2 linked regions of the Daphnia pulex genome follow. Each later gene encodes a partner of the first gene's protein in a complex. Links are inferred from orthologs where the notes say so. Each region holds a gene or a part of one and is shown in the gene's direction. Other genes may lie near its edges.

Region 1 (15,414 bases):
ACAACCGAGAAGAACAGCTGATATGTGAGTGTTGTGTCGTATTTGTGTGTACGTGTTACTTTCTATAGCGGTGCTCTGTTCAATATCGACCGCAAAAACCCACGTTACGTGTAAACAGTGACCATGACGGAATCGACTCAAGTGGTGGTTTCTAAAGAACGAAGGAGGATGTTGGAGGTAAAAATAAGAATTTACTTTGTGTTGAATTATTGTTTCGGCCTATAAATTGTCGGCGCACGTGTTTTGTAAGAAAATGAGTGAACTATGGAACGTGGTATTCAGTTGGCACGTTTTGAATGGCGGATGTTTTATTTTGCCAATTCCCAGAAAATGGCAATCTTTTTATTTTGAAAAATGTGTGTTTTGTTTTGTTGCACTTGTTGGAAAATCGGCTGCTGATTATCATCGCGCCATCTGTGAATGTAATTTACGACTTTTTGATGTTGTTCTTTCAAGGGCGCCATTTTTCTAATTAATTATAATCGGAATTAAACGACATGATTGAATTGAATTTGGTAGATGACAATTACCAAGGACAATTCACATAATGATAAAATAGTAGTCGGGTTTAAACTATTCATTCGTTGAACGCGTGTGGGGTTGGGTGGAATTGTATAGTTCGCAGTGGGCTGTGTGATGGCGCTAGTGGGTGGGCGAGTTGGGAGAACGAATAAGAAGAAGGAGGCTTCGACTCTCCCTTTTTTTGTTATCCATTGGGAGTTTCCGGGGTTTCGAAAAAATAAAAGAGGAACGGGAGGGTGGTGGTGGTGGGAGCCGAGTTAGTTCGAGTTGGAGAGAGGGGGGAAGGAGGAGGAAAAAAAGCCACCCGTTCTTCCCGCCACCAAATTGGTGCTGTGTGTGTGTTTTTTCGATCCCGCGTTTTATTTTTTTTTTCCACCGATTCCACCCAACTCTTTTTCTTGTTTTGTTTTGAAATTTTTCACGAAATTCCTCGACAACCTATTAACCATCACGGCGTGTGTCCAACCAACAATTCCAATTCAGTGTTGAATGCTGAAATTGTCAACTGCGTCACAACGTCGAAGCATATTCAATGTACAGACCCGAGGTAAGGAAAATAAGAAGAAAACAGATTCTTTCCGTCTCGTGTGTTTCTCTGCTAATTTGTCACCAACACACAATCACACGAGACACGAATTGTTCACGCGGTATTTGTTTACTGATCGTGATGATCATCTGCTAGTTATGGAAGTGCTGTAGATGGTGTGTGTGTGTTGTGTGTGTGTACAATTTGGTCATTCCCACTTCTCATTCTTGCTCGAATGTCGAGAAGGGAAAGAAGCCCTTTCAATGGCGTCCCCCCAGCCGTACACACCCCACACGTATACACATGATGGAGGTATACCCACAGCCACGACTATTTTCTCATGGCGGCTAGGTTGGGGCTGCTGATGGCAAATGTTTGTTGTTTGTGTTTCGATCGCATTTTAATGACGCCAAAACCAGTTTAATCGATTATTCCTTGACCTAAAAATCGAATTTTCCACCAGATCATGTTTAATCTAATCGCAGTTAAACTTTGTGTAACTAATCCACCTGTTGTCGAGCGAATTACTTTGTTTGTGGGGGGGGGGGGGCTCTCAGCGGATATTGCAAATTAATTCGAGTTGGTAGAGAAATCAGTAAGATTGGATGCAGTGAATCAGCGTGCGTTTCGTAATGAAATGATGAAATTGATTAGATCCGACGATGTAAATTTGGATCTCTGTCGAGTGTAGGACGTTCTCTCGGCCGCCATTTCTGCTAGATCGGCCACTGTATAGTTGTGGAGAAGTGGGAGGGCTTCAATATCTTTTCCCTTCTCTTTCTGTGCTGTGTGTGTGTGTGTGTTGGTCGGCCATTTCTGAGAGTGGAGCTGGTGCCCGTACACAGACAGACAGACCCCCTCTCTTCTCCGGGCGTTGGGAGAAGGCGAGAGAGAGAAGACAAGAGTCTTTTCTCCCCCTCACTCTCTCCCCCTCTTCTCTCTCTTATATTCTCCCTCCTCCACCCAGCAGCGTCTCTGTGTGTTGTGTGTGTGGTTCGGAGGAGGATTTCGGCCGACGACCAACACGTTCACGAAAGTTGGTGGGGTGGTTATAGGGGAGAGACAACTCCCTCTTGTGTCCAAGTGAGAAGAAGAAAATAAAACGCAAGAAGTTTGAGTGGTTTTTCCATCTTATTGTGTACCACCCACGTCCACAGTGGGGGTGGGTGAAACACCCGTGCCAAAGATTTTGTCTTTTTTATCGTGAACAAAATTTCGTGTTATCCCCGATTGCGTCATTTTGTTTGATATGGAGACGGAATTATTGGGCTGAATTTTTCATTTTGGTGCCGTGACCTTATGGCCTCCCGCTGCCGGCCGGAGGGTGGAGACTTTTTAACATGTTGTGTTTAGTGTGTGCGCTTCATTGATTATGGCGGATGTGGAACGTTTTTAGCGTCTGCGCACACTTGACCCGATTTTGTGTTTTGTTATGTGACAGTCCGGTTGGTCATCATCATCAATCGGGACAACCCAAAAATAGTTGACGTGTGTTTTCATTCGTAGATGGCCTTTCCTCTATACCTGAGTTACCTGACATCGGAACAGAAACCGGCAGCGGCTTGTTTCGTCCCGGCCCAGGCCGGCAGTGGTGGTGGTGTTGCCGGAACGCCGGCTACCGGCACTGGAACTGGCGCACCTCCGCCCAGTGGCGGAGCCCGTGCTCCAACGGCTTCCGTTCAAGTCCAGGCCAAGACGATGGATGGAGCGCCCGTACCCGTTGTACCGATGGATTGCTACGAAGACATGTTTCACGAAATAGCCAAGAAATTCTACGGTGAAGGAGCACTAGTGCCTGGAGGCATCGTTCAACAAGGAACCGACCAGAACGGAACTGTTGCCGGTGGAGGAGGCCAGCAACAACAGCAAGGACAAGCCAATTCACAGGGGGAATTGGGTATGATGGATCTAGACTATCAAGCGGTAATTAAACTTAAATTAATTACATTTTTATTTCCTCAATTTTTAATGGTGATTATATTTCTTCAGGTTGGCAAAGATGGCCATTATCAGACGACGGGTCAAGGAGCTTCAGCGGGACCCACGTTGATTGTTCAGACGACAGGCGGTCCCGTGTTGCAAGTGACGATGGAAGCGGCTCCGCACGTCAATACGGGCGGACACCATCCATCGCCGCCAAAGAAACCCAAAATGAGCGTCAAGTTAAAAAAAGCGGCGGCTGCAGCGGCGGCAGCGGCCGCAGCTGCTGCAGCAGCCGCCGCCGCCGCCGCTCAAAACAACAGCAACGCGGCCGGAGCCAGCGGCAAACCCGTCGAATCCACATGGGTGGAGAGCGATGACCTACTACCATGGAACTCGTCAAAAGTGGCTTCTTACAATGCAACTCACAAGGTGAACTACTCCTCCCTAAAAATCTAATCGCATTATATCCCCCGTCAATTCTTTTAGCGCAGGAATTTGAAGGGAAAAACAAATTCCATGACCTAATCAGATAACGATCAATCGTGTGTTCCAATTTTTTTTTTAAATAATAATGTTTGGAATTTTTCAATTTATGTTTCCAGCTGTTTCGATGCCTGGATTGCGGCTGCGTGGGTTTCCTGGCCCGCATCGCCGAGCATTGGCTAGGAGCGCACGCCAACCTGCGTGTGTTCCAGTGCCCGCGTTGCCACTACAATTCGGCGTGGGCTCGCTGCATCCGGATGCACCTGGCCCGCCAGCACAACGAACAGAACCCGGACAGTTCGCTGTGGCGCGAGAATCCCGTGCTGGAGGAGGTGACCAAATACCTATTGGCGCTCAAGAACCGCGTCGAGAGCAAGGACGAAATGCCGTCGCCAGGCAACGGAGCGGGCGGCGGAGGAGACAAACGGTACTCATGTCCTTATTGTCCGTACGCCACCGATCGGAGGGACCTATACACGCGGCACGAGACCATTCATAGTGAAGAGAAGCCCTTCCAGTGCTTCATTTGTGACAAGCAGTTTAACCGGGCCGATCACTGCAAAAAACACTTTAGTCGCATGCATAGGTATCCATCTCTGCAAAACAAAAACAAAACCCCAGACTTTTTGAAATTTGTTTTTTACTTTCCACGTTTGATTATTTCATTCCAGTTATTCCCGATACAATTTATATGGATCTCTCTCTCTCTCTATTGGAGCAAAACTAGTTTTTAGATTTTTAGTTTAAATTTTCCTTTTTATTCATTCCGGAATTTTTTTATTTCGTTTGTTGCAGGGATACGGCGTACGATTTACAAAAGATTAAGAAAGCTGCGGGAGGTGATGGTCATCACGGTGGACATCACGCAACGGCAGCCGCCGCCAAAGCACCAGCTGCTCACGTTGTTGTTGCCGCAACTGTTCCTCCTACTCAAGTCCCTTTTTACACAACCGTGGCGGTACAACAGCAACAACAACAACAACAGCAGCAAAGTAGCCAATCGGTGGCCAGTCAAAACAATCAACAACAGCAGCAGCAGCAACAACAGCAGCAGCAGCAACAACAACAACAGCAAGTGGCGGTCCAGCGTCCTCCTGCGACAGTTGTAGCGGCCTATCAATCCCATTTGGGGTTGCCGGCCTTCCCCAGTCAGCCCACACCTACGCAAGCCTATAAAAGTTACACAACACTCGGAGTGGAAGCCTTAGTCCGACCGACTCACACCATCGCCACACCGACGAGTCAGCAGCAGCAGCAAAACAGTTCGACGTCGGGTCAGTCGTCTCAGGCGTCTGGCGGTGGCGAGAAGAAGAAGAAGGAAAAGTTGTACGCCTGCACCTATTGCGCCTGGCGAGGAGTGGACAATTGGTGCCTCAAACGCCATCTCAACACCCACATCAAACCCTACCTCTGCGTCCTGTGCGACTACAAAGCGGCCCGCTCCGAACGGCTGGCCACTCACGTCCACAAAGTTCACAATAAGCGAATTTGCGGCAAGTGCAACTTTTTAGCAGACGACCAGGACGCCCTCAGCCAACACATGCGTGAACATCAGTAAGTAGAATGGCCCGGAATAAAAACAAGTCCCTCGCGTTTTTCTTTTCTTCTTCACAAACATTTCGCCAAATATACACACGACACACACACACACATTTTCATTCACATCACATGCAAATCATCCTGGGCGCCGAGCGCAATGGATCCCACCAAAAATTGATACTTTGGGTAAAGGGAGGGAGACAAACAGCCATCCATATTTTTGTTTGAATTGAAGCCAAAGTTTGTTTCGCTTATTTCTCTTCTTCATCCCGCCGCACACCTTATTTCCCCCCCCCCCCCTTAATATTTGGTTTATTTTTGTGGGTAATTGACTCACCCAAAATGATGGCCTTGCACGCGGGTTTGACGTGTTTTACAGCCAACGATTGGTACTATTTTGTCGAGTGTGTGTGTGTGTGTATAGTGGGGTTGTTGTGTTTCTTTTTATACAAAAGAATATTGTGCAGGTGTTTGACACACACACACACACAGGTGGGCGCCATAAAAATCATCTGTAGAGTTTACAAATGCGGGAGCTTTCGAATTTGTTTTCGGGGATAATCTTCATTTCTCCCTTTTTCCTATTTTGTACATTTTTTCGGTTGGCTTATATTATCACTGGGGGTTCGAATCCGATCCATCAATTCCGTACAGGGAAAAAATGTTTGACTAGAGGCAATTGAAATAATCACAATTACGGGGAATTTGTTTTTTTAAAAAGAAAAAAAACCAAACACACGGCCGCTTAACTATACTATAATATTTTTTTGCCAGCTTTAAAAATCTCCCCACCACCTTCACCAAATCCAAACCATGTTGTGACGTGTTGGGAATTGACGGATCGATTTAACTCTTTTGAATTTCGGGTGTTGAGAGATTTTACCTGTCATTTGTTTCGCTTTTTTGTTTCCCCATGCGCCCCCCTCCTGAATGTGTGTGTGTGTGGTTGTCTGTGTGAGAGTGTGTGTGTGTGATTAATAGAACTATTCTGACGAAAGTTACGATAGAGAAACTAATTTGCAAAAGACAAAAAAGAATAATATCTAGCACTCGGAATTAGTAAAACAATTCTTTGTAGTGCGAGCCAAATTGTTATTAGCTCCGAGCAGAAAAACAAATTGCTTTATAGCCCTTTCAAATAAAATATCACCATCATTTTGATAGATAAACAACAGATTAAAAAAAAAGTTAATAATCTCATTTTTTTTTCTCCCTCATTTTCTTATGCAGTTGTAAAAAAAATTCAATTAATAAAGAAGTTTTTCAATGTTGAAAATTTTTCTCGATTGACTAAAAAAAAGATCTTTGATATCCTCCCGATTTTTTTGCCTACCCCTCCTCACTTTTTAAAATGTACAAAAATCGTTTTCACACACACAGATAACAGAATACAAATCCCGTTTTTTTTTTCGATTCATTATTCGTCGTATCTGATTGTTTTTGGATTTCTTTATGATCCCTGGTCGACTTTTTTGTTTCGCGCACTTTTCAAATCTTCCCGCAATATTTTTGTTGGGACACGCCAAAGAGCTTCATTTTCCTTCTTTTCGTTGATGGGATTTTGTCATTCTGGGGTTTTTTCAACATGTCCTTTTATGTGTGTCGCTTGGGTTTCCCTTGACAAGAATTGTTTCGGCTTCACTGCCAAAAGATTTCATTGCCTTGTCTACGTCTTTTCAATTATTAACCCTGCCAAAAACAAAAGTTACACAACAAGTGTGATTTTCTATTATTTTGGTGGAGGAATTTGGCACCCTGAGGTAGGTCATTTATTTAAACTGAATTGATTCAAATACGGGTTATACAACACATTATTACCTACCCGATGATGAAACCCCCAAAAATAGAAATGACGTTTGATGTTGAGTTTGTTTTAGTCAGAATCCCGTAGTCAAATCGGAGAGGAGTATCGTCAACGCCAAGGGCAAAAAGGCAAATCAGCAGAAGCCACTGATGGATCAAATGGATGAAACGGGACCGGATGTCGTGGGGATGGAAAATCGTCCTAATCAAATTCTGCTTCAGTGTGAACTGTGCGATTTCCGTACCACCGATGGCAACCTAATTCATGCCCACTTGGCCGAAAACCATCACCGTTCAACAAATGGTACAATGGAAACCTGCCAAAACTGATGGACTCGCCAATACAATCTATTGGAAAGAATATATAATTTTACATCCGTTTTATTTGTAATTTTGCACAATTAACCTGAGTAGCCTTCAAGTAATCCGTTCATTTACACAGGTCGTCGTTATGGTTTAATAATGTTCCCGTTATAATTTTTATCGAATGTTTACCCCTGCCAATTTAAGTGTTGCCGATTTAAAAAAAATCACATTCGATTGTTTACATCTATGCTGCTGAAAATAAAGAGTAAAAGACATATGATATAAAGAAAAAAATATTCTTAGGTATCGATTGATTAGTTGGCATTTTTATACGCGAGAGGGATGATAAAAATAAATCTGGCAACGCTTTCTCTAGTACACACGTGCGTAAGGTGAAGATGGCGACTGCTTCGAAATCATCTAAACGTCGCCTCGAAATTGTTGAAAACAATGAAAATTCCGCTGAAGTGGTAAGTAGAAATCACCGAAATTGGATTAGGAAATGAATTACCTCTTTTTCTGTGTATTTGACATGTATTTTACATGTTTCTAGGACGACATAATTGAGGCACAAGTTTCCGACAATGCCGATGACAGCACCGACGAGGAATCTAGTGAATACTCCGGTTTAGAAGATGACGAGGAAGATGATAGTGATGACGAAGAAGATAATTCTGATTGGGAAGAAGGTAGTGATGAGGATGAAGAAGAGGGAGATGAAGTACACAATATGAGTACCAACGAGGATAGTGAGGATGACACAGCGGAGAATAAAGTGGTACCCACTGCTGTACCCATCGCACAAGATGGACCCTCTACGTCTACTGCCCAACTGCCAGCTCCTCCTGTAGAGGATGAATATGCATATGATTCTTCTGATGAGGAAGTATGTTTGTTTTAAAAATGTGCTATATTGGTTTCTGAAACAACATTTTATCTTCAGGATTTGAGAAACACTGTGGGAAACATTCCAATGAACTGGTATAATGACTATCCTCATATTGGTTATGATTTGGAAGGAAAAGCAATTCTCAAACCCAAACGAGGAGATGAAATTGACAATTTCTTGAGGAAAATGGAGAATCCAGAGTCATGGTAAACACTTTTCACAGCACTGTCCCTTTGATTGTTGACTAAATTATTTTGATATTGCAACAGGCGGACAGTTTATGATCCACAGACAGGCCAGGATGTTATCTTGAGTAATGAGGATGTGGATCTCATCAAAAATGTCATGGGTAGTAGAATACCTGATGGAAGCTATAACCCTTATGAACCATGGGTTGATTGGTTCACTAACGAAGTCATGGAAACACCTGTTACTGGTAGACCTGAACATAAAAGATCTTTTATTCCCTCAAGAGTTGAAGCTATTAAAGGTGACTGCTAGTGGATTTGTTATCAACGTGTTTCCAAGTTAGACTAATCCTTTTTTACACTTTCTAGTTGGTCGAATGGTGCACGCTATCAAGATGGGTTGGATGAAACCTCGTGTGGCTAAAGACACATCCGTTGAACGGCACAAGTATTATTTGCTTTGGAATGCCGATGACAAGTCGGAGGATGTTCGTCGTATTGAAAATCCTATCCCTGCTCCGAAACCTCGACTTCCGGGGCATGCCGAGTCCTACAATCCCCCTCCAGAGTACGCCTTTTCTGAAAGGGAAATCAATCAATGGAATCGCTTAGCCGAAACTCCGTACCAGCGCAAGTTCCCATTTATTCCCCAACGGTTTAGCTCGCTGAGAGCAGTGCCAGCTTATGACAGATTCGCTCGCGAGCGATTCGTTCGTTGCTTGGATCTTTATTTGTGCCCTCGTGCCAAGAAGATGCGTTTGACAATCCAACCGGAAGATCTTGTACCGCAATTGCCTAAGCCAAGGGATCTCCAACCGTTCCCAACGGTCTGCTCTATGATTTTCAAGGGCCACAAAGGACTTGTTCGTACTATTAGTCACGATCCTTCAGGCCAGTTCTTTATTTCTGGTTCCGATGATCAAACACTTAAGGGTAAGTTGATAAAATGATTTTTTGGTAACATTTCATCCATTTTCAATTTTTATTTCACAGTATGGGAGATTGCAACTGGCCGCTGTTTCAAGACTTTTGAAGTTAAAGGAACTGTCCGTTGCGTTTCTTGGTGCCCGAACTCGTCTATTGCTCTGGTGGCTGCTGCGGTTGATAATAACGTCTATTTAATCAACCCTGGTGTAGGAGATCGACTTGTCCAAGCCAAAACAGATGAGATTCTCAAGGAAATGCCTGCGCAAACAGATTATCTTAGTAAGCTCATTTTTATTTCTGCTCCAGTTCATTTTTAAATGTCGTACTACTTCTTTTTTCAGTTCCTCAACGAGTTCGTGCTGTTTTGACGTGGAACGAGCCTGATAAGGCTCAATGGGATAGTGGATTCCGTGTTACTCTTACTCACTTCAAGGCAGTGAAACACGTAGCCTGGCATTCAAAGGGCGACTACTTCTCGTCGGTCATGCCGGAAGGTGACAATCGATCCGTGCTGATCCATCAACTTTCTCGACGCAGATCACAGTTGCCTTTTAGCAAATCCAAGGGACTTGTGCAGTGCACTCTGTTCCATCCCCTTAGACCTTATCTATTTGTTGCGGTAATATTTTGTTTGTTAAATTTCACGTTAACTGAAGCTTAATTTGAGATTTTTTGGCAGACACAACGTCACGTTCGAGTATACAATCTTTTGAAACAAGAACTTACCAAAAAATTAATGACAGGAGCCAAATGGATTTCTTCGATTGCAGTTCATCCAGGTAAAGTTCAAACTTCCCAACAACTATTTGCAGTCTAATTTTCATCCATCTACTTGTAACAGGTGGAGACAACATCCTCGTAGGAACTCACGATCGTCGTCTTTGCTGGTTCGACTTGGATTTATCAACTAAACCTTATCAAGCTCTGCGTCATCATGGTCAAGGTATTCGTGCAGTGGCCTATCACAAACGATACCCTCTCTTCGCTTCTGGATCGGACGATTGCTCTGCCATTGTTTCACATGGAATGGTCTACAAGTAAGACATCTTGATTACTTAATTTGTTTGTTGAACTTCTCATTACTTTTATTTTTCTAAATTTATAGCGATTTGTTGAAGAACCCAACAATTGTCCCGTTGAAGAAACTGCGTGGGCATGCCAAATTTGATGATTTCGGTGTTTTCGATGTTCTCTTCCACCCTACACAACCATGGTTGTTTACCAGTGGAGCAGATGCTACGATTCGATTGTACACGTAACGCACTGAACTCCAAGTGGCACACGATTATTACACAACTGAAACATGTTTGTTTGACATTTGTTTCATTTATTAAATTTTACAATTGATAAAATAAGAAGACTAACAATTGTATTCGTTCAATAATGGAAACATCAGTTTGGTTATTGTGCAGCACTTATAAATAAGCGATACATGATATTGTATGATTGAAAACCCATGGCACCAAGAAAGGTCGATCATTGTTCATTGTCATAATTAAATTTTATAAGTGGTCTAGTTTCAATTCCATGGTCCTCTCGGGAAGTATTTTTTGTTGGGTGAAGCTGGCACTGCAGACATCTGTGCAGCACTGAAGGAAGACATTCCGATTCCAATTATTGCCATAAGAGTTGCAGTCAACTGTGGGGGCCATCCTTCAGATCGCAGTCTTGCAAACTAAGACACAAAATTGGAATTGAACGGTATGTTTGATAAAATTTCAGAAGTTAACTTACCCCAGTGGTCCATCTGTAGGCTGTGCGTACAGTGGAAACTTGAACAATCATTGCCTAAACATGAGAATCAAACATTAAATATCTTGAAATGAAATGGACACAACGCGCAAAAACAGACGCTTTCACTAGTATAAAAAAGGACATGTTTCACACTGATATGTGTAACTAGCACGTGACGAAATAACTGGAAATACAGGTACCCCATCTTGAAAATAAATTTGTTAAAACCCAATGAAATCTAAAGACTGGAAATTTTTTCACCTAGAGTGTTTAAGTACCAGCCCAAGTTAGAGGAAGTCGCCGGCCGAATTAACCGCGGAAATCGGCTTTGCGGAAATTATATACGGCCTCGAGAGAGAAAAAAACAGAACGTTTGTGGCCTTGAAACCACCCACGGCCGCAGACGAAACCCTTATAACGAGTAAGTTGGTTACCAAGTTATAGCGTTACTAGGCGTCACAGCGTTGCTATCCTGTCAAATAAAAGTTGAAAACGGGAACCTTTTTTTAACTGGTCAAGGCGGCCAAGGGTAAAAAGGCAAACCTGTAGTAAACAAAGTCGTCTTTATCGTAATTCTTACGTATATAATGATAAATGTGGCCTACGTCTATTTTGAGACCAAAAATCAAAAGTAGAAATCTGATAGAAATTTCGAGAGTTGAAAGATCTCAAGTGACCTAAAATTACATGTAAATGTGATGCTAAAAAGTGGTTGTAGAAAATACCACGAAAAATTCTTAGCACTGGAGTTATCCTATACGAAGCAGTGTAAACTGGTGAGAAAATGAGGACATAATTAAAAAGAAAGGAAAAAGTGAATCCTATTCTTAACTGCAGCGACTCCCGAATTTTTCGTTTCAGGTTCAAGACTGGTAAACATCGGCCGACTGCCAAAAACTAAAATACGCGGCGCCGACTTGTGCTAACGGTATGCAAAAATTGAGGGTCGAATAAATGTGAGCTCACGTAGCCAGCATGCTTAACTTTGTATTTGACATTCTTCTGATGGTTTTCCTACATTATGTGAAGCGCGAATCCGCTTTTTTCAGGGACACGGTTGTTATGTCATTTGCAAATTTCTTGCAAAGTAAAAGTTGGCAATCTGCCAAGAGCAAAAACGTACAGGTTTTCATGGGGTTTGCAAACATTGAAGGTTGCAATGTGAATGAACTTGGCGTTGCGTACATGCTTTCACAAATATGTCGTTTGAAAAATTTTTCACATTTGCAACGCATTACGACGATCTAAGTCACACCGACACTATTCTTTTTTTTCAGAGACGCATTTTTGGTTATCAGATGTCTGTGTTATTATAATTCAAAACGGATGTTTGTGAATAACAAATTTGTTCCACTAGCACTTGTTTTTTAAAGAAACTTGCAATGTTGCAAATTTTCTTTCGCGGTTAAATTATGCTCTATTCATTTGTTTTTTTAAGGAGAAAAGTCAGAAAACATAATTGCATAATTCTCTTGACAGCTGAGTCTGGCTGAGTCGTGACTTGAGAGTAGCGGAGATCTTAAATCTACAAATTTCAATTTTAGAAAGTGAATCCATTCTATTTTTATTTCGATTGTTCTTTTCAGAGTTCAACGCCTTATTTCTGTCGTTATTTAACATTTTGCAATTAAAATGGAGGGAGAATGTCACGAATCTGGAAGGGTTCTGATGTACCAGTGGAAATTTAAAGATTTGACTGAACGGTGCTCAATCATGACCGAAATGGCTGAGTTTCTGGGATTGAAAGCTTTTCGATTTGCCCTGAAAAAAGTTGGTGGTCAAGACACAAAGACAAGGTTGTATTTCATTTGTACCAATTTGCACAAGATTGGCTATAAAGTGGCGAAAGTATCTGTCAAGATCAAAGGAAAACCTGACCTAGATGCACACATGAACCTTTGTGAGAATGAGCTGGATCACCTTCAGTTATTCGTAAAAGAAATAATTGATTGTGAATGGCAGAAGCAAGAGACATTCACGTTCGGCGTCCACGTTATCGAAACATTGGAAAACTATCGTTACCAATTGTCAGATATTCTATTTACAGATCAGTTGTGGTTGACTGCCAAGAACAAACTCTGGACTGACATTGAATTTTCAGTCCAAAACCACATTTTTTCGGCACATCGGGCCATTCTGGCAGCTCGAAGTCCAACATTGTTTGGTTCAATTGAATCGCTGATTGTTGGCAGTCAAATCAAGATCGATCACACAGAACCCCTTGTTTTTGAAATGTTTCTTCGATTTCTCTATACTGGCGTCTTTCAGGTCAACAACCACCGAAGTGTTAACGAAGAACTCCTTAAATTGGCAGAACGTTACAAGTTGAGCACGTTGAAATCCCTTTGCCAGTTGGCAGTTCAAGATATCGATGCTAATCAACTCACATCATTCGCCATGGCCATGAAACCAGACTTTGAAATTTGCCCCAAGAAACCTCAGCTCAAGTAAGATAAACTCAAAGTCTTATTTACTCCTTCATTTTATTTATTTTGTCTATTTATAGAGAGAAGACCAAAGCTCAATTGTTTTTCCAAAAGTACTATACAGTCATCGAATGCGTTTGGCGGGTGGAAGAATTGCCGCAAGACGATAAGCTGTTCACTTCAGATCAATTGAATTTCCGCAACGATGGAGCGTTCCGGGCGGGACTGGCCGATCATCCATCCACCAAGCACTCAACTCTCTTATCCCCACAGCATTTCCTTTACCTGGCCTGTTCTCACCTGGAGAAAACAGGCACATCCATATCCCATGTTGAGAGTTACATTGACGGCGCCGAATATTGCCGGATGGAGCGACGAGGTGAAAAAGCCTTATACATCTTTGGCCGGGAACTCTACGATCTCGTAGCACCAAGTTCTTTCAAATTCGACATCCTCATCAGAGAAAATCTCGAAAATTTTCGATACCAACTGATGGACAGTCTCCGCTCTGTTGACTACTGGAACATGTTCCTTTTGGCCATCCTGACCGACGCCGAGCTTCAAGTTGGGAAAAAAATTTTCAAAGTACATCGAGTCATTATCTCTTCAAGGAGTCCGGTATTCACGGAGCTGTTCAATACCTCAACGGTCGAATCTGTCACGGGAAAAGTTCGAATCGATGATGGCGTAAATCCTGACGCCTTCAAAGAATTTCTCTTCTTCTTGTACACGGGAGAGCTCAAAGTATCAGCCAACTCCCAGTCCCTATTGAAATTGGCGGAAAAATATCAAGTTAAATCTTTGATTGAAATCTGTCGTGCGGCCATTCAAGAAATCGACGTCGACGAAATCTCTACTTCTTTGATCTGGCTGTGAGTCCAAGCTTTCATAATTTTTAAAATTTTAAATAGCCTTGTGTGTATTCTATATAATGGACATATTCCTTGTTAAATGATGAGCAAGTCAAACGTGCTGTATATTTATTTTAAAAGATGCGCGCCAAATAAATATTTTATGCAGTAAAATATTTTTCCGCTAGATGTCCCTCATTAAAAAAAAACAACAAACATTTGATTCTCATCCCGTAGCAGGTAATTACAGCCAACGATTCTTTAGTTATTATTATTTTTCCACCATATTACTTATGCTTTACGTGATTTCTTTTTATTTTCTATTTTTTCGGTCAACTGGATTGTCTGTAAAATGAGACGGCGCTGAAGCTTAGGATAATAACAGTCAGATGCTGTGGCGGAGGCTGGATGATGGAAGTTGGGTGTGCTGTTGGGTGCGACCACCCATATGTGTGAGAAACGGGCAGCATGTGAGGCTGTTCTCAGTCTAAATATAATGCCATCCATCTCTCCCCGAAAGGAAGACCTGAGCCGCCGCTTTTCCATCACACACACACACAAGAGGTGAAATAATAATAATATCACGATAGGTTCTCTCTCTCTCTATGTGGTTTGTTTGTGATGGTGATCTCCTTTTTTTTTGTTCCCCTCCCTTTCTTCCTCACTCTGTGTCTTTCTCAGTCGATTGATGTGGAGGATATTATCCGCTCGGCTTCACTCGGTTATTGCATCTGCCTCCGCACACACACACACACACACCGTATATAAGCTTATTGCCTCCTATCCTCTTGCGGTACGGCATCACACAGCAACTGGGCCATTTTCTATCTTTTTTCCATCCGCAGGAAGGAAGGAAGAAGACTGATTTGCTCGCTCGACCGTGCAGGTGCGTTTTCTCTGCTGCTGTGCAAGGAAAAGCTTTTTCTCAATCCTCAACCATCAGCCTCTTTGTGGTAACATTCACCGGAAACCTCAATACTATTCAATTGAATTTCGTTTTTGGCGCCAAATTCAATTGATTTAATTTATCTTTTTTTAAAATAGTACCCACCTGCTTCGTTTTTCTTTCAACACAATTTGTTTTTGTATCAAATAAGCTGTCGCTATAGTCGAGTGCAACCGGATACTTTTATCGTTTTTTTTTTCCCTTGTCTATGAGAGACCGCACGCGGTTTATTGTGTGTGTTTAAACGAGGGAAAAAGTCATAGACTCTGTCTCCCCCGAGTCTTTTATTTTTCAAGTTGAAAGAGTATAGGGGGGAAAAAAGTTTCAATCAATTCCCTCTTAACACACCCT
Region 2 (15,167 bases), on another chromosome or scaffold:
CCGCTTTGTCAGGGCCGACAAATCGAGATAATCGCATGCGATTGTTTGTTTGTTTGTTTGTTTTTTCTGTGTGTGTGTGTGTGTGGAATGGCGCGTTCAACTCAGTAGCTTGTTTACTCTTGCGCATCCATTCCAGGATTCCCAAGATCTTTTTTGGAACGCGGACGCACAAGCAAATCACTCAAGTGGTCAAAGAATTCCGCCGCACCGTCTACTGCAATACTCCGTGAGTCACACACGATGCCCTCGACAGCTATTATTTATTCCCTCTCCCAGCTTACCTTCATTTGAATTTCCTTCTTAAATCTTAAGACTTGAGACAGATATTTTTCTTCTTCTCTTATCATTCCATTCGACTTTGGCTTTGTCGATCGAAATTTTACAGGATGGGCGTGCTGGCCAGCAGGGAACACACCTGCATCCATCCAGAAGTGTCGCGTTCCGCCAACAAAAACGAAGGTTGCAAAATACTAAATGACCGACGATTGGCCAAACAGGATCCGCAGCAGAAGGTAAAAGCGCGTAATTAATTTCCTCGTCTCTCGTTGCGCGACCTTCTTCCCCACCCCGATTCCAGCGAAAAAGGGAAATCGAACAAGCTACACCGTAAAAGTGTAGTATACCTCTTTTGTATCTATCTAATGATTTCCGAGAATTGATCTCGTCCTCCTCGGTAACAACTGTTCGCCATCAACCTGTTACCTGCCAGCCAAGAGAATCACGCATTCAACTTGTTTTGCCATTTAAAGAACGATCGTGATCGCCCGAGCGTCAAATACGATCAAATGAGATCAAAGAACTTGGGTGGGGGGATAACAAAAAAAAAAAAAAAAATGAAAATGACTGGTTTCAAGTTTAATTGCCCGTCATTAGAAGACAGTGAAGAAGGAGGAGCCATGAAACCATCCGGTTATTCAAGACGCCGACGTTGAGACATGATACGCTTTCAAGATCAAATTTTTACTTCCCCCTTTTTTTATTTTATTTTCATGAAAAAAATTTCATTTCTAGTATTTCTTCTTTTCATTCATTCAATAAGAAAAAAAGGAGAAGAAAACGAGGGGAATGGTTGGTGGGTTGATTCTTTTGCCTCTTTGAAGGCGGTCTCGTTTTCTCGTAATGAATCCTATCTTTCAATCCATTATCCAACCGTAGTAATCACCGCAAAAGCGGCATTCGTATTATAACCCCCCTGCAACTTTTTTCTTCGTATTTAGATATTTCTCTCCACCTTCTTTTTCCCCCTATTTTTCGGTTTATTTCATTTTTTTGATTCGACAGCGCTTTGTAATGTGAGCCAAACATTTTGTCCTGTTTTTTTTTCATTATGATGACAATTATTCTCCGTATCTTTCGAGACGATCCGCTCATTTCTCCGAAAGGTTTTTTTTTTCGTCCCTATGACAAAGTGACCATTGTTGTTGACTCAGTTCATGCTTCCCACAATTTTTCTAGTCTCATTTCATTGAACTGTGCGATGGAACACTGGTCGAATTGTTCTTGGCGGACATTCCTGACAAGTTGTCCACTCACACTGGAACTTTAATGAGTCCATTTTTCTCTTTTTTTTTTCCTCAACTCTGTACAGGGTGGTTGTTCATACCGTTGGCAAGGCAAAGACAAGCTCAAGACGCAAGCTCAAATTCGTAACTATGGACTGGTCAGTGGTTGGGTAAGTCAATTTTTAATTTATTATTGTGGGTGATTCAAATGAAAATGATTTTTTCCTTTTTTGCGGGGGATTATTTTGTTTGATGTTTAGGATATCGAAGATTTGGTGAGTTTAGGCCGTCGCATTCGGGTTTGCCCATATTACGCTTCGCGCGACTTGTCGGAGCAAGCGCAGATCGTCTTTAGCCCTTACAATTACCTGATTGATCCGAGGGTACGTCAGTCGATGAAGATCCCAATTAATGACAATATCATCATTCTCGACGAGGCTCATAACATCGAGGATTCTGGTATTAAGCATTAATTCTTATGTATTAAGCATTAATGCTTATGTACTTAATACATTCACAGCGCGCGAATCAGCTGGAGGTTCTTGGTCACAAGAGGATTTTCGCTTGGCTCTCAATGACTGCGAGAAAGTAAACAAGTCTTAAAAATTGAATGCTTGATGGGCCATCCCCCTATTGTTTCCGTTCTGTGTCTTGAGTAGATCGGTAATCGGCACCCGACGATGGAAAAAGAAATCAATAGACTGGCCAAATTCTCGTCTTACATGATGCAATGGATCGGCAAACACGCCACGAACATGAAGAGTGTCGGCTTCGACCGGGAAGTTCACGTGATGACCGGCACGGAATTTGTAGCCAATTTGAGCGTCGACGGCTACGGTCCCGAAATGCTGGTCGAACTCAAGGCGATAATCGATTATATCTTCAACGAGCAACTCGAGTCGGATTGGAATGACAAAGAGGGCAGCCAGGATCCACAATTGTCGGGTGCCACTCAAACTCTCCTCGAAGGATTCCTCATGATTATGGATTTGATGTTGAACGGTAATCAAATTCACCGCGACGACTACCGGGCCGTAGTCGTTCGCACTGTCGAGAGGAAACAGAAAAAAGGACCTGGATCGTCATTTTTCGGGTGAGTCAATGCCAGGAGACGTTGTAAAATGCCTCACTTTGCAATCAATTATTTTGTTGGAAATGGACTTTTCAGGAAAGCCAACATCGCCTCGCAGTGGACATACGCCCTCAATTTATGGTGTCTCAATTCGGCTGTCGTGATGCATGAAATCAAAGAGAGTACGCGATCTATCATCGTCACATCGGGCACGCTGTCACCCTTGGCCTCCTATCAGTCGGAACTCGATATCGATTTCAAGCTCACTCTGGAGGCCAATCATGTCATTCCAGCCAAACGTGTGTGGATAGGGACCATCTCGCAGGGGCCTAGGAACACTCTGCTCAACGGGACATTCAAGGTGACCGGGACTTTTGAATATCAGGTAAATCTCCTCTTTATTTTCTATTCTCCGATGTTGTACCCGCGATGGTGTGGTTTACGCAACGGCAGTTGACGTTTCTGACCGTCCAACTCTTTTCACTCAAGGATGAACTCGGCCGGTTGGCTTTGTCCGTCTGCCAGACGATTCCGCACGGTGTTTTATGCTTCCTGCCCTCTTACAGTCTATTGGAGAAGCTTGTCACTCGATGGCAGGACACGGGTCTATGGCAACACCTTTCCAATTACAAAACCATCGTTTGCGAGTCGCGAGATTCACGCGACTTTGAGGAAACGCTCAAGAGTTTTTACTCGGCCATCGAAGACAGCGTAAAGTAAACCAGCCTACTTTCTTTCTCCATATTTCAATGAATAAAAATTGTGTTTTTTTTATTAGTGCTCTGAGTTGCTTAGACTTGGACGGCTCGGGTGATGGGTCTGAATGCCCGAGCAAAAAAACTGGTGACGTACCCAGCGGCGCTCTGATGTTGGCCGTATGTCGAGGCAAAGTCAGCGAAGGACTTGACTTCACCGATAACAATGCCCGGGCCGTCATTTGTGTGGGAATCCCTTTCCCAAATTTCAAAGATACTCAAGTCGAATTGAAACGCCAATACAATGACAAATTGTCCGCCTCTACACCGTTACTCAACGGAAGTGAGTGGTACGAGATCCAAGCCTTCAGGTTAGTTTTTCTTTTCAAATTATCTTTCGGTCTATCCATTACTTTTCCATCAAATAGTACAGGTTTTTTGTTTGTTTGTTTGTTTGTGAAATAGGGCATTGAATCAAGCACTAGGACGCTGTATCAGACACAAAGCCGATTGGGGAGCTATTCTCCTAGTGGATGATCGTTTTGCAAAAACGCCACGATACGTGAACCAATTATCCAAATGGGTCCGGTCTTCTATTCGTCACTTCCACTGCTTTCCGCCCATGTTAAACTCGTTGAAGGAATTTGCCGATAACTTTGTAGCAGAAGACGCTGCTGCTTTGGTTGCCAGTCAGCAACAGTTACTTTCATCTACTCAAGAAGAGTCGCAATCGTTCACCCCTATGGCCGTCTCCAGCTCACCTTATTTCGCCAAACCCGCTGTGTCGTCACCGAATGTGGTTTATCTTTCTGAGGATGAAAACGATTCCATTCTCTCTGTGAATGATAGTCTCACTGCTGAGATTTCGCCGTTGAAGACACGTCCAGTGCAGATGAACGCATCACCAGTCAATCCTTTGTTGACTAACAAGATATCGCCGACGGTGCCTGTGCATTCGACAGAAATGAAGACAACTCCCGTCAGGCACCCTGTGCCTAGAAACAAGAAACCGTTCGCCACTCTTTTGGGGAATCCGAATAAATTATCGCTTTCTCAGCGTAAATTGGCTGCCGAGAATGGATCTCACTATTTCCAGGATATGAATCCAGCTGCCGCAAACGTCAAACCTGATTTTGATTCTTAAAGTATTTTGATAATATTGTATGTTGTTCTTCCCAACCAAGCGAAATATTCTTGTAAGTGGATTCCTTTACTCATTATCATTTCAACACTATGTACGTGTGTTGCTAATATTCCATCGAATTATTGAAGTGCACAGGTTGTTTTAATAAGATTTCAATTACCGATGCAGAATATTTTTAAGGAACAGTGGGTAAAAATGTGTTTTAATTTTTTACTACAGGGAAAAAAAAAGGCAATTGCCCAATTTAGATGCTTATTAACAGTTCCATTGCTTTAACATTGACTAAATTTATTCACCATATTATTTTCTTAAAGATTTCTTGAAACTACATAATTTATCACATATTTAACAGGAGCACCAAAATAGCGTTTAAAATAACTAAGCTTATCACACCAGTTTGCGATTGAACAGCTGAATTTGGACATACATTTAAGGCTTGCCAGGTTTGCGAGCATTTTGTGTCGTCGTTTTCGGGATATAATTCGGTAAGATCGACGAATTTGTAATTCTTCAAGTTATGACTGCAAATATTTGAAGGTTGATATTAATCGTGTGCATCGAATCGGATACGAAAATGAAAAAGCTTCTTACTAATCCGGTGACGACTGATTGCTACCTTCCGGTACAGGGTACAAACTGTTCCACTGACGTTCTTCATCAACGCCGTGAGTAGAATGCGCATTCATTAAGTATACCTATTCAAATCAAAGTTATTAATCCTAAATTGGTTGATGTTGGTTGTTTACTACGTACTCTGGGTGGTAGATACGTCAAAGGAATAGTGGCAGATCCATTCCAATGACTTCCGAAACGATTAAATGAATATTTCAATGGGGAATCCAAACTTCCAACTTTGTTGTAATAGCCATTCCAGAAAACGACAAGATAATGTCCCCACCTGCAAGTTGAAAAAGTAATGTTAAAACAGATAGAATTGGCTCGCTTAGTGATTTGATAACGAAAACATACGGTCCAAGTTCGATTTCCAGATATTTCAAATCCGGATAACCAAGTAAATAAAGATGGACTACTTCGTATTTATATAAATCTGCAAATGGCCCTCCATTGGTTTTTTCTGGAGCTGGATCATTGTAAAAGGGTGCGCTAACATTTAGAATCAAATTGGTACGTGATGCATCAAGTTGTACATGTAAGTCGACGGTTTCATTGGAAAGAAGTTCTTTTCCCTTCCATGAAGTAGCGATTTGAAAACTGCGAATCCTTTAACAAAAAACATCAGTGGTGTTGCAAAATTTAGGATTAAAAATATCAGCATTTCGATTAAAGTACCCTTGTAGCGCATCCGTCCAAACCGACGACATCGCTTCAAAATTTTCAGTAAATAAAACAGTGCTATCGAAGGGTTGGAACGATGTCAATTTATGACTAAAAAGTAATTAAGTTAATAATAACATTAAAGGTAAGCAGCTCATGTATGAAGTAGTACTTACTCGTCTAGTTCAGCAGTAGCAATGTTTTCAACAGGATAAAGTGCGTTTACGACACGCTTATCTCTTGAACCATGATATGAAAAGACGTTCAATTTGGAAGCGTTCACAGGCAGGTAGGTTAAAGGAATAATGGCAGTTCCGTTCCATCGTTTGCCACTCCTGTATGCCTTGTAATTTATCAACATTCCGAAACGAATCGTGTGTCGATACCCATTCAAGAGTAATACAAAGTGATGGCCCCACCTGATTAAAAATTTGAACTTCCATTAATCTAGTAGCAAACTAAACTAGCCATTGCTCAACCGTGTAAAAATGTACTTACGCTCCCAGCTGAATTTCAATATACTGGTGTAGATCGTTCAAGAAGAAAATTTTTACCACTAGATCAATTAAATGAAAATAATACTTTACACTTTCAGAAAATTAATAGACAAAAGTTAGTAGAGTACATACATTCATAATCCCAAAGCCCCCATTTTGGTTCACCTACATCACCAGGTGTGTTTGGAGGAGGGTCATCGTAGAAAGGAGCTTGAACAACAATTTTGAATGACTTAGAATCATGTTTCTCCAAATTTATTATGACTTGATCAGAAGAATCAATTGTCATGTTATTCCATGATGTTTTTATAACATACTCTGCAGCACTGTAAGTAAATAAAGCAATATAATTATGAATGATTGCCATGTTTAATATAATTTTGGTCAAGTTAATACTGCATGACACAAGACACATCTGGACCAAGTCGATATTCAATATTCATTATGCCCATGTCCTAGAATAAACAATTCAATTGCAAACCAATCAATTGTTTACTTACTTTGTGTTTGGTAAATGAACTGAGATCATAAAAAGTAGCCACAGAAAAATGAATGATTGATTCACATTATGCAATCCCCTATATTAATCAAAACAAACATTTGGTTAATACAACATAGGGCAAATAGATTGTTATGTAGTATTTGAAAACTACAGTATACAATAATGTATCATTACATATAATACCTACATGTCCAGTAATTAGTATATGCCTTTAGCTTTCAAGCAGTTTCAAGTTTCAACAGCCTCTGCCTAAGAAACGATTTTCTTTGAATAGACAATGTTCTAGGCTTGGCAATCTGTTTTATTTGGCTAACAAACCTTGCGTCACTGATAAGTGATAAATACGAAATACGAAATTACGAATGTTGATAACTTTTTCTTTTCATCTTTTTCAAAGCAAATATCAATATTAGAGGCCAAGTCGCCCAAGATATTTCACAGTTTCACTATCTGTCAAATCCATACTGCCATGAGTGCCATCTATTGAATAATTAATATAACTTGCTTTTCAATTAAAATCTTATAAGATTTTATTTTATAATGACCACATTTAGTAAATTTATGTCGAAAATAATTTTATAGAATGATAAATTTATAAAATCCCAATTTTATTGATGTTTTATCGGAAACGTTGAAATGTTTTCTCGGCCTTTTTGAACTAGAATTGTCAACTACCGATAGTCCGATACCGTCGTCTGCTTGTCATAAAGTTTGGCTTTTCGGTGCACGTGGTCGCTTAAATACGCAATACGATCGAGCGTATGTTCTTTTGATCCGTTTAATTGAAATAGCATATAACAAGCATAAAAAATGGGAGCCCGTATGAAGAAAAAGGTTTGTTGCCAAAAGAGTTCATATTATAGATGTAGTGTTGTATCTTTCATGTTGTCTGCCACTGTCTAAAATATGCACATGTGACGTGTCATGCCTTAGCAAAGAGAAATAGAACGTGATGAAAACTAATTATCCTTTAATTAGTACGAAGCAGGTGAAGCTACCAAATATATAACAAGAGCTCAAGCCTTGAAAAAGCTGCAACTAAACTTGAAAGACTTTCGGCGCCTTTGCATCTTGAAGGGTGTATACCCACGTGAACCCAACAACAGAAAGAAAGCCCAGAAGGGAAAGCTTGACAAGAAGACCCTGTATTATGTGAAAGATATCAGATTTTTGAGCCACGAACCTCTGATATGGAAGTTCAGGGACTTCAAAATCTTCATGAGGAAGATGAAGACTGCGATGGAGAAAGGTGATAAAGAAACTGTAGCAAGGCTGAAAGATAACAAGCCTAGCATGAAGTTAGACCATTTGGTAAAAGAAAGGTAAGAAATGGTAATAGATAATAAAATGTTCACTGTCTATTGATTAATTTATCTTCTTAGATACCCTTCATTTCTTGATGCACTCAATGATCTGGATGATTGTTTGACCCTCTGTTTTTTCTATTCGACTCTACCGCGAGACACCAAAGTTCCGGCGAATCTGATTTCACTTTGTCGCAGGCTCACCGTTGAGTTTTTACATTATGTTATTGCTGCCAAAGCTTTGCGCAAAGTCTTTATTTCAGTTAAAGGCATTTACTACCAAGTAGAAATTAAAGGACAGCCTGTGACAATTCTTATTAACCATCTAAGAGGGTTCAAGGTAATGTCTATCTACCAAATAATTTGAGTGTCATTCTAATCTCTTCAATTTCTTTAGCCCACAACAGCATCGGATGTTGATTATAGGATCATGACAAATTTCGTCGATTTTTATACTTCAATGCTTGGATTCATAAACTTCCGACTCTACCACTCCATTAATCTTCAGTATCCGCCGAAACTTCCGGGAATTAATAGTAATATTGTTTATATTTCTTCATTAATTAAATAAACTTACAAAAATAATTTGTAGTTAACGAAAATGCCGCGGATGAAGATGCTACTGAAGAGTACAACGAACTGGTAGCAGCTTTGAATACGAGTCTTGTTGCAAACGTACCCGAAGCAGAGGAAGAACTTCAAATAGACGAATTTCCATCGGTAAAAAAAATAATAATCTTTTTAATAATTATTGTTTTTGTTCTAAAACTAGCATTTATTCAATAGGCTGATGGACAGGATAAACTTGATGAAGCAAAGCGTGAGGCGGAAGCAATTGAGCGAATGAAGTATCTTTTCAAAGGTTTAAAGTTTTTCATTAGTCGCGAAGTTCCACGTGAATCGGTTGTTTTCGTGATCCGAGCGTGCGATGGTGAAGCTTCGTGGGATTCCTCCATATTTGCGGGCGCCACATATGATGAGACAGATGAAAGCATTACACATCAAATTATCGACAGACCTTCCGTCGAAAAACAATATCTTTCTCGGTAATTATTGCTTGGTTTTTATTTGTGTCAGTACTGCGCATCTAACCGCTTTTCTTCACGACAGTTATTACATCCAACCCCAATGGTTGTTTGACTGCATCAACTTCCGTCGATTACTTCCGGTGGAAGACTATTTCATTGGTGCTAATCTGCCACCGCATATCTCGCCCTTTGTTACTGAGCGTCTTGGTGACTACATTCCTCCTGAGCGACAGGTACTCCTGGCTCTAGAGCGCGGCGAAACCCTTCCAGGTATGCTTTTACTTGTCCTTTCGTACTGATTAAGCTTGCTAAATTAATGCCTTGTGATTACTAGCTGAAGAGGAAGAGGAAGAAGAAGAGGAGGAGGAGAGTGAGGATGATAGCAGTGAAGAAGAAGAAGATAGCAAACCGAAAAAGAATGAAACCACAAAGTCTCAAGTCGTTAAGGAGGTAATGACGAGTTTGTTTTTTAACGATGTTTCTGAAAAAGCAATTAAATGTATTTTTACAACGATGTTTCTCGCAGAAAAAAGGCATGAAGGTAATGAGAGGTCGCGTTGAAATGCCTGACATCAAGGGTATGGACGAAGAGGAAAAAGAACACTACAAATTCCGTGAACTTATGATTCGCAACAAAGACAAACGATTGTATCGCTCCATGATGAAGAATCGTAAGAGCCGTGAACGCGAAGCTAAGCGTTTGGAAAACAAACGCAAGTTCCACGAAAAGGAAGAAAAAGCATTGAAGAAAAGTACGTCTACTGGGAAAGAACTGACCGCGAAATGGTCCATTCAACCCCTATCGTCCACGACCTCAGACACGCAAATCAAGAAAATAAAGAAGGATGCGTAAGTTGTCGTATTCTTCTCCCTTTTTTTGTCTTAATACACGCTATTGTGGAAACAATCTCTGAAAGGCGTTTAGTATGAATACGGCAATTATGGAGTTAATTGCGGGCCTAGCAACACCTTTGTTGTCTTGTTTTTAACGCGTTATGACTACGACCAATTTATAAATGCATGCATGCGTACTTCCATGAAGCTTCCTTTTGGGGGGAGGGTTATCGAACATTTGCCTTTGCTGCTGGCAGTGCTGGCCTCCTTAACTGGGCCACCGGGATGCCTTCTGGCGATGACCGCAATTGGTGTTCCCTTTTTTTAGTGGGAAAACCAGTGTATGGAGCCCTTGGTATAACCGGCAACGACAGAATAACGGTGCGGCAGCTATTCTTCAAGGTGATTTAAGTTACCTGTTTCATTTTCTTTTATTTGAATCTTTTCCTAATGCAGTGTTATTTTATGATTATTTAAAAAACAACAAAAGGATGAATTTCTTCTTCTCTGTTCGAATTTGTGGTTAGGTTAATTGTGTTTTGTATTTTATCTATTCCAAATGCCGTCATAGTCGTCTTTGTTTCTACTTGACTGAGTCACCCGTTAGGTTTCCGTGGAGAAGGAGAACAGCCGCTTCGATTTTCGCCGTCGCCGACTGACTGAAGACTGGATTTAACGGTACAGAACTCTCTTTCGGGAGAGAGAACTCTTTTGAAGGTATCATATCGTCTCGAACCGTGACTTGGTTTGGATCTGTGTGGATTGTTAGCGAGTTGGTGGATAGTGGTGGGTTAGTTTCTTTCCGTGTGTTGGCTTGCGCCTCCGCGCGCACTGTTTGCTGTCCATCTACACCTTATAGGTGGTCCGCTTTCTCCAATCTGTGATTTTTCTGTTGTCATATTTGCTATTTAAGTTTCATTGTTAAGAGCTACATTTTAAACTACTTGTCACGAAAATCGCGTTACCCGTACTGTACGAACTTTGGCGAAACGAGTTCGTGCAATGTCGGTCCGATTTTGGCTTGTTGCGGTCTTCACCGTAACCGTGTTATCCTACCACCTTGTGCCATGCGAATGTCAATCATCCGATGAGAGTGCTGTAGCTCTAAATTCTACAAGCAGTGCCGAGTCGTTGGTCAATGACACCAGCAACAATGCCACCGTTCAAGCCGTCAGCAACTTGGAACGCAATGGTAACAACAGTTCCGGATCATCTTCGCCGTCTGGCTGGAATCGCCTATTGAGAAAATTTTTCGATCGCCCTTCGTCTCAACAAAAACATGCTGACAAGAACCGTATTATCTTGGAGAATCTCAACAACATCCAGTCGAACCCTGAAACAGCCAACACAACTTCCAGCGTTGCTTTCCACGACGAGGAAACAGTAGCCATTATTACCTACGTTAACAAGAACGTGAATAGCTGCAAGTTAATGGAAGTCAAGTAAGATTTCGTTTTCGTATTATATAACAAAAAGAGGTGATTTGAGAAAATTGGAAACTTAGTTTTCCTTTTTGCTCTCATAACACCATTTCGAGACTGATATTTTCGCAGTTCATTTGTTTGTTGCTTAACTTTCATTCACAATCGTAAGGATAATTCTTTTGTGTAAAATTAAAATTCTTTTATTTTAATGCGTTGTATTGAAAGTCTGAAACGAAGGTTATTCTGATTTTTTTACTACCTGCATCCAACTACACACACCCTGAGGGATGAGAAGAGAAACGAAAACTTTCTCCGGAAATGTATCCATTCTTAAGAGAACCCGTCCCATGAATCTATTGTCCGGGAGTTTTTAATCTTATACTACGTTAGTAGTCGAGGATCCGTTGCCCCCTTACACCTTTCAGTACGCCATGCGATGCCAGGTGGCAACCCGTTAGCGGATTTCTGTATATATTAAAGAAATTTCACAGGAAGAACGTCATTGAAGGGTTTTTTCTTCATACGATGCCAAGCTGTTTATACATGATATTGCTATAGGAAAATAACTTAATTAAAACTTATTTTTTTTTGAAAAGCGCAATTCAATGTTTTGTTTTTTCTCTCCCATTTTTTAACAGCTATCACTACCAAGCTGTAGAAGTGCTGAAAAATCTTTCGGTCTACATGCCAATTTACCCAGTTGGTAAATGGCTTTATAATTTGGTTTTATAATCGTTATATTTTGTAAAATTTATATAATTTTTATGACAGACACCCATACCATGGTCAACCTCATTAAACAATGTCAGTATCTAAGGGGACCTATAGAGATGAACGGAAGGGGATGGACATCTAGATCAATGAGGTCAGAGAACTCGACGTCATCTAATTCGTGGACAACGTTTGTCACGACTATTGTTCCAGGTACGTGTGTAAACGTTATCATTGTGAGCACGTATTAGAAATGAAATGCATTATGAAATGGGCATAGCCCGCATCACCAACTGCTTTTCTTTTTTTGCTGCGGAAGGTGACGAAAGAGAGAGAAAGCTTTGTGATGACTAATATTTTAGGCTATGCTTTCTTAACTCAATGTGTTTTGAAAGAACAGATGCAGCTTTCTCACAGATTATTTGAAAGATACATTTTTTATTTGCTATTACTTGCTATTATTTTGTGCAGGAACGAAATGGTGTGGTCCAGGAGACGTTGCCCAGTCTTACGATGACCTAGGTGCTCTAATCGAAGTGGACAAGTGCTGTCGGGCACACGACCACTGCCCGATTAAAGTGAAGGGTTTCGCCAGCGCGCATGGCTTGATGAATCTATCATTTTATACCAAGTAATGGAAATTTTTTAAATAAAATTTTGTATGAAATTTCACAATCAAACATTTTTTTATTTGTTCAAGATCTCATTGCGCCTGCGACGACGAATTCTTTAGCTGCTTGAAGGCACTTCCGACTCCAGTGTCGCGGATGATCGGCAATCTCTATTTCAATGTCATCCAGATGCCGTGCGTTGATGAGCTGCAATTGTCCGTTCCAGACGGACTACCCAAGCCGAAACTCGAAATTTTGCAGCCGGAGCTATGTACAGCCAAAATCTCAAGAAGTGGAGAATGCACAGGTCCCTCCGTTAGAAGACCTTTTCAACCGAGACCCTACAAGTTCGTCACCATAAACCGCGTATTTTAAGTTGATCTTATAACACCTACTTTCCTGGAGTTTCACTCCCAACAAATCAAACCTTTCTTACTCTCGCATCCTCAATATACGGACGGATTCTTCCTCCACTGATGACTGTCTTTATTTCAACTCCTCGGTACTCAGCATTTACGCTTCATGTCGGAATAAAAACGTTTCACGTGCTAGGTCATTATGCATCACGTGTAAAAAAGGGCATTTTTATTATTACCATTTTCCCTGTTTTGAAAATACAGTTAGCGAACGACACGTGAAACCACACTGTTGTGAAATCTTGAAGGCCCATTTAACCAAGGGATCCAATGTAACCAAATTTCTTCGACATAACTGTACTTTTGTACAAGCGGTGCAGAGACGGCAACACGTACGTTTTTCTATTAGGTTCAAATGCTCAGTGCTTGAAGCAACTACAGGTACAACTACCTTTTAAGGCAATTTTATGAATAATGTAGATTTAATGTAGTTATTCTTCAGTTTTGCGGAGGTAGATTTGTTGATGTGAAAGTTACTTGTGAAAATATTTTTACTTAAATTTTTTTTAATAAATTTCGATTCGAGTATGACGCTATTTTGATTAGACTATTTTGCCCCATCCCCGGCTCTCTACCCCCCCCCCCCCCACCACACACACACACACACATAGTAATAAAACACAATGGATTCCCAAACAACAGTAATAACAGCGAAGAATTTAACTTTAAAATAAAAAAAATTAATCCACTAAACTATTTAATATTAAGGAATCAATAAATGAATCTGAATTCATGGTTTGACACATACTAAGAAAATTACAGGTGACAACGTTGTAACAGACTAGTCTTGTAGACGATTTCGAATGGACCAGTCGGAAAATAAAGAAACTTGGGATATCAAATCTCACGAAACTAAACCAAAATTCGAACAATCAACGTCATTACATGAAAGTTATCACCTAAAACTGTGGATTGGTACCATCAAAAGTCTAAAACAAAATCATTCCGATACGAAAACGGCGATATTCGGAAAAAAAGTCATCGCCTATGTTGACATTTTAGGAACTGTCATTGATAAGTTATCTTACGAAAAAGCTGATATTTATGTTTGTATGTAACCAATCTTTTTATATGGTTTTTAAAATTTGTGTAACCAAGATTTCATTTTTTTTAGTGGATGATGGTTCTGGTGTCATATCCTGTCATTCTGGAAAAAAGTCGGCTGAACTTGATAACATTGAAGAACTAAGACTATCTCTTAAAAATGATTCATCTATTATGGTAAATACAAGAATATTAATGCTAAACATTGACCTCTTGAAATTTAGAATTTTCCTGTTTGCACAGCTAATTTCTAATCAAGAAGATGAAGGTTTAGAAACTTTACTTACTTTACTGGAGAAAGAAAAAGGTGACTACACTATAGGCGATACTTTGCATGTTCAAGGAAAATTGAGTTTTTATAAAGAAGAGTGGAAAATATTTGGCAATACTATTCGTAAGTATTTCATACAAATCTTCTGAACTCCTAATGTTTGATTACAAATTATCTTAGGTGCTGTTGAGTTTGAAGAAGAAAATCATAGATGTCTTGAACTAGATTACTTGTATAAAAATATATACAAAACAAAATGAGTTCTGAAGCTGAATCGAAGAATACTGTACAAAATATTCGAGATGAGAATCGTCAAGAGTTCAATAGATTACGGAAAGAAAAACGTTACAAGGTAACAACAGTCCAACGAAGTGGCCTCGAACAATTGCAGCCACGTACCTATTCACCTGTAAATCTCCATTCTATGGCTGCTAATTTGAGAAAGAGGAAGGGTGTCAACAGAGAATTTCTCGCCGATCTGAGTCAAGCATTAGCAGAGTGCGAACAAAATGCAATTATTTTCTGTGGCATTGATGGTTCTATTCCAAGCTTATGCACATTTTTAACAGGTATAGAAATTTTTTGTTTTTGTTTGTTCATATCCAGTTCATATTTAAGAATGTTATTTCAATAGGTGGTGATTCGACTTTACAATTAGAAGCGGCTTATTGCGTTGCTAACGCTGCAGTGTGGGAGGATGAAACTAAAATTGTTAGTCAGGTTGCTTCCGTAACTGGCGCTTACTTGATAACTTTGCTGGGAAGTGGAAATTCTTCTTTACAAGAAGCTTGTTGTTGGGGTATTTTCTTTGATTCCCGTTGAAGTTAATTATGCATT

What was found.
Region 2: ribosome biogenesis protein BOP1 homolog (region 1) and pescadillo homolog share a complex: the UniProt entries of both Homo sapiens proteins name them as parts of the peBoW complex. The link is inferred for Daphnia pulex from reciprocal best matches to the Homo sapiens genes BOP1 and PES1.

The regions. Positions count from the first base shown.
Region 1 is NC_060021.1:9,838,666-9,854,079, forward strand, and holds ribosome biogenesis protein BOP1 homolog, read left to right. Parts: upstream 1-7,415; 5' UTR 7,416-7,500; coding exon 7,501-7,572; intron 7,573-7,655; coding exon 7,656-7,988; intron 7,989-8,045; coding exon 8,046-8,197; intron 8,198-8,260; coding exon 8,261-8,481; intron 8,482-8,548; coding exon 8,549-9,112; intron 9,113-9,172; coding exon 9,173-9,385; intron 9,386-9,447; coding exon 9,448-9,725; intron 9,726-9,785; coding exon 9,786-9,885; intron 9,886-9,947; coding exon 9,948-10,143; intron 10,144-10,211; coding exon 10,212-10,365; 3' UTR 10,366-10,412; downstream 10,413-15,414. Other genes in the region: protein charlatan-like, read left to right, coding at 124-177, 2,555-2,971, 3,038-3,400, 3,574-4,040, 4,250-5,008, 6,871-7,126; uncharacterized protein LOC124194447, read left to right, coding at 12,473-13,287, 13,347-14,142. UniProt on the Homo sapiens protein: Component of the PeBoW complex, which is required for maturation of 28S and 5.8S ribosomal RNAs and formation of the 60S ribosome.
Region 2 is NC_060028.1:9,966,576-9,981,742, forward strand, and holds pescadillo homolog, read left to right. Parts: upstream 1-7,353; 5' UTR 7,354-7,497; coding exon 7,498-7,521; intron 7,522-7,665; coding exon 7,666-8,009; intron 8,010-8,069; coding exon 8,070-8,331; intron 8,332-8,388; coding exon 8,389-8,527; intron 8,528-8,583; coding exon 8,584-8,711; intron 8,712-8,777; coding exon 8,778-9,037; intron 9,038-9,101; coding exon 9,102-9,289; intron 9,290-9,353; coding exon 9,354-9,469; intron 9,470-9,545; coding exon 9,546-9,872; 3' UTR 9,873-9,926; downstream 9,927-15,167. Other genes in the region: Fanconi anemia group J protein homolog, read left to right, coding at 137-226, 386-512, 1,589-1,672, 1,763-1,961, 2,023-2,090, 2,162-2,595, 2,671-2,959, 3,064-3,290 and 2 more; uncharacterized protein LOC124208492, read right to left, coding at 4,751-4,934, 5,005-5,108, 5,167-5,311, 5,383-5,634, 5,704-5,799, 5,865-6,107, 6,187-6,244, 6,318-6,511 and 2 more; uncharacterized protein LOC124209777, read left to right, coding at 10,856-11,295, 11,916-11,980, 12,049-12,201, 12,460-12,619, 12,689-12,974; uncharacterized protein LOC124209778, read left to right, coding at 14,587-14,899, 14,965-15,129. UniProt on the Homo sapiens protein: Component of the PeBoW complex, which is required for maturation of 28S and 5.8S ribosomal RNAs and formation of the 60S ribosome.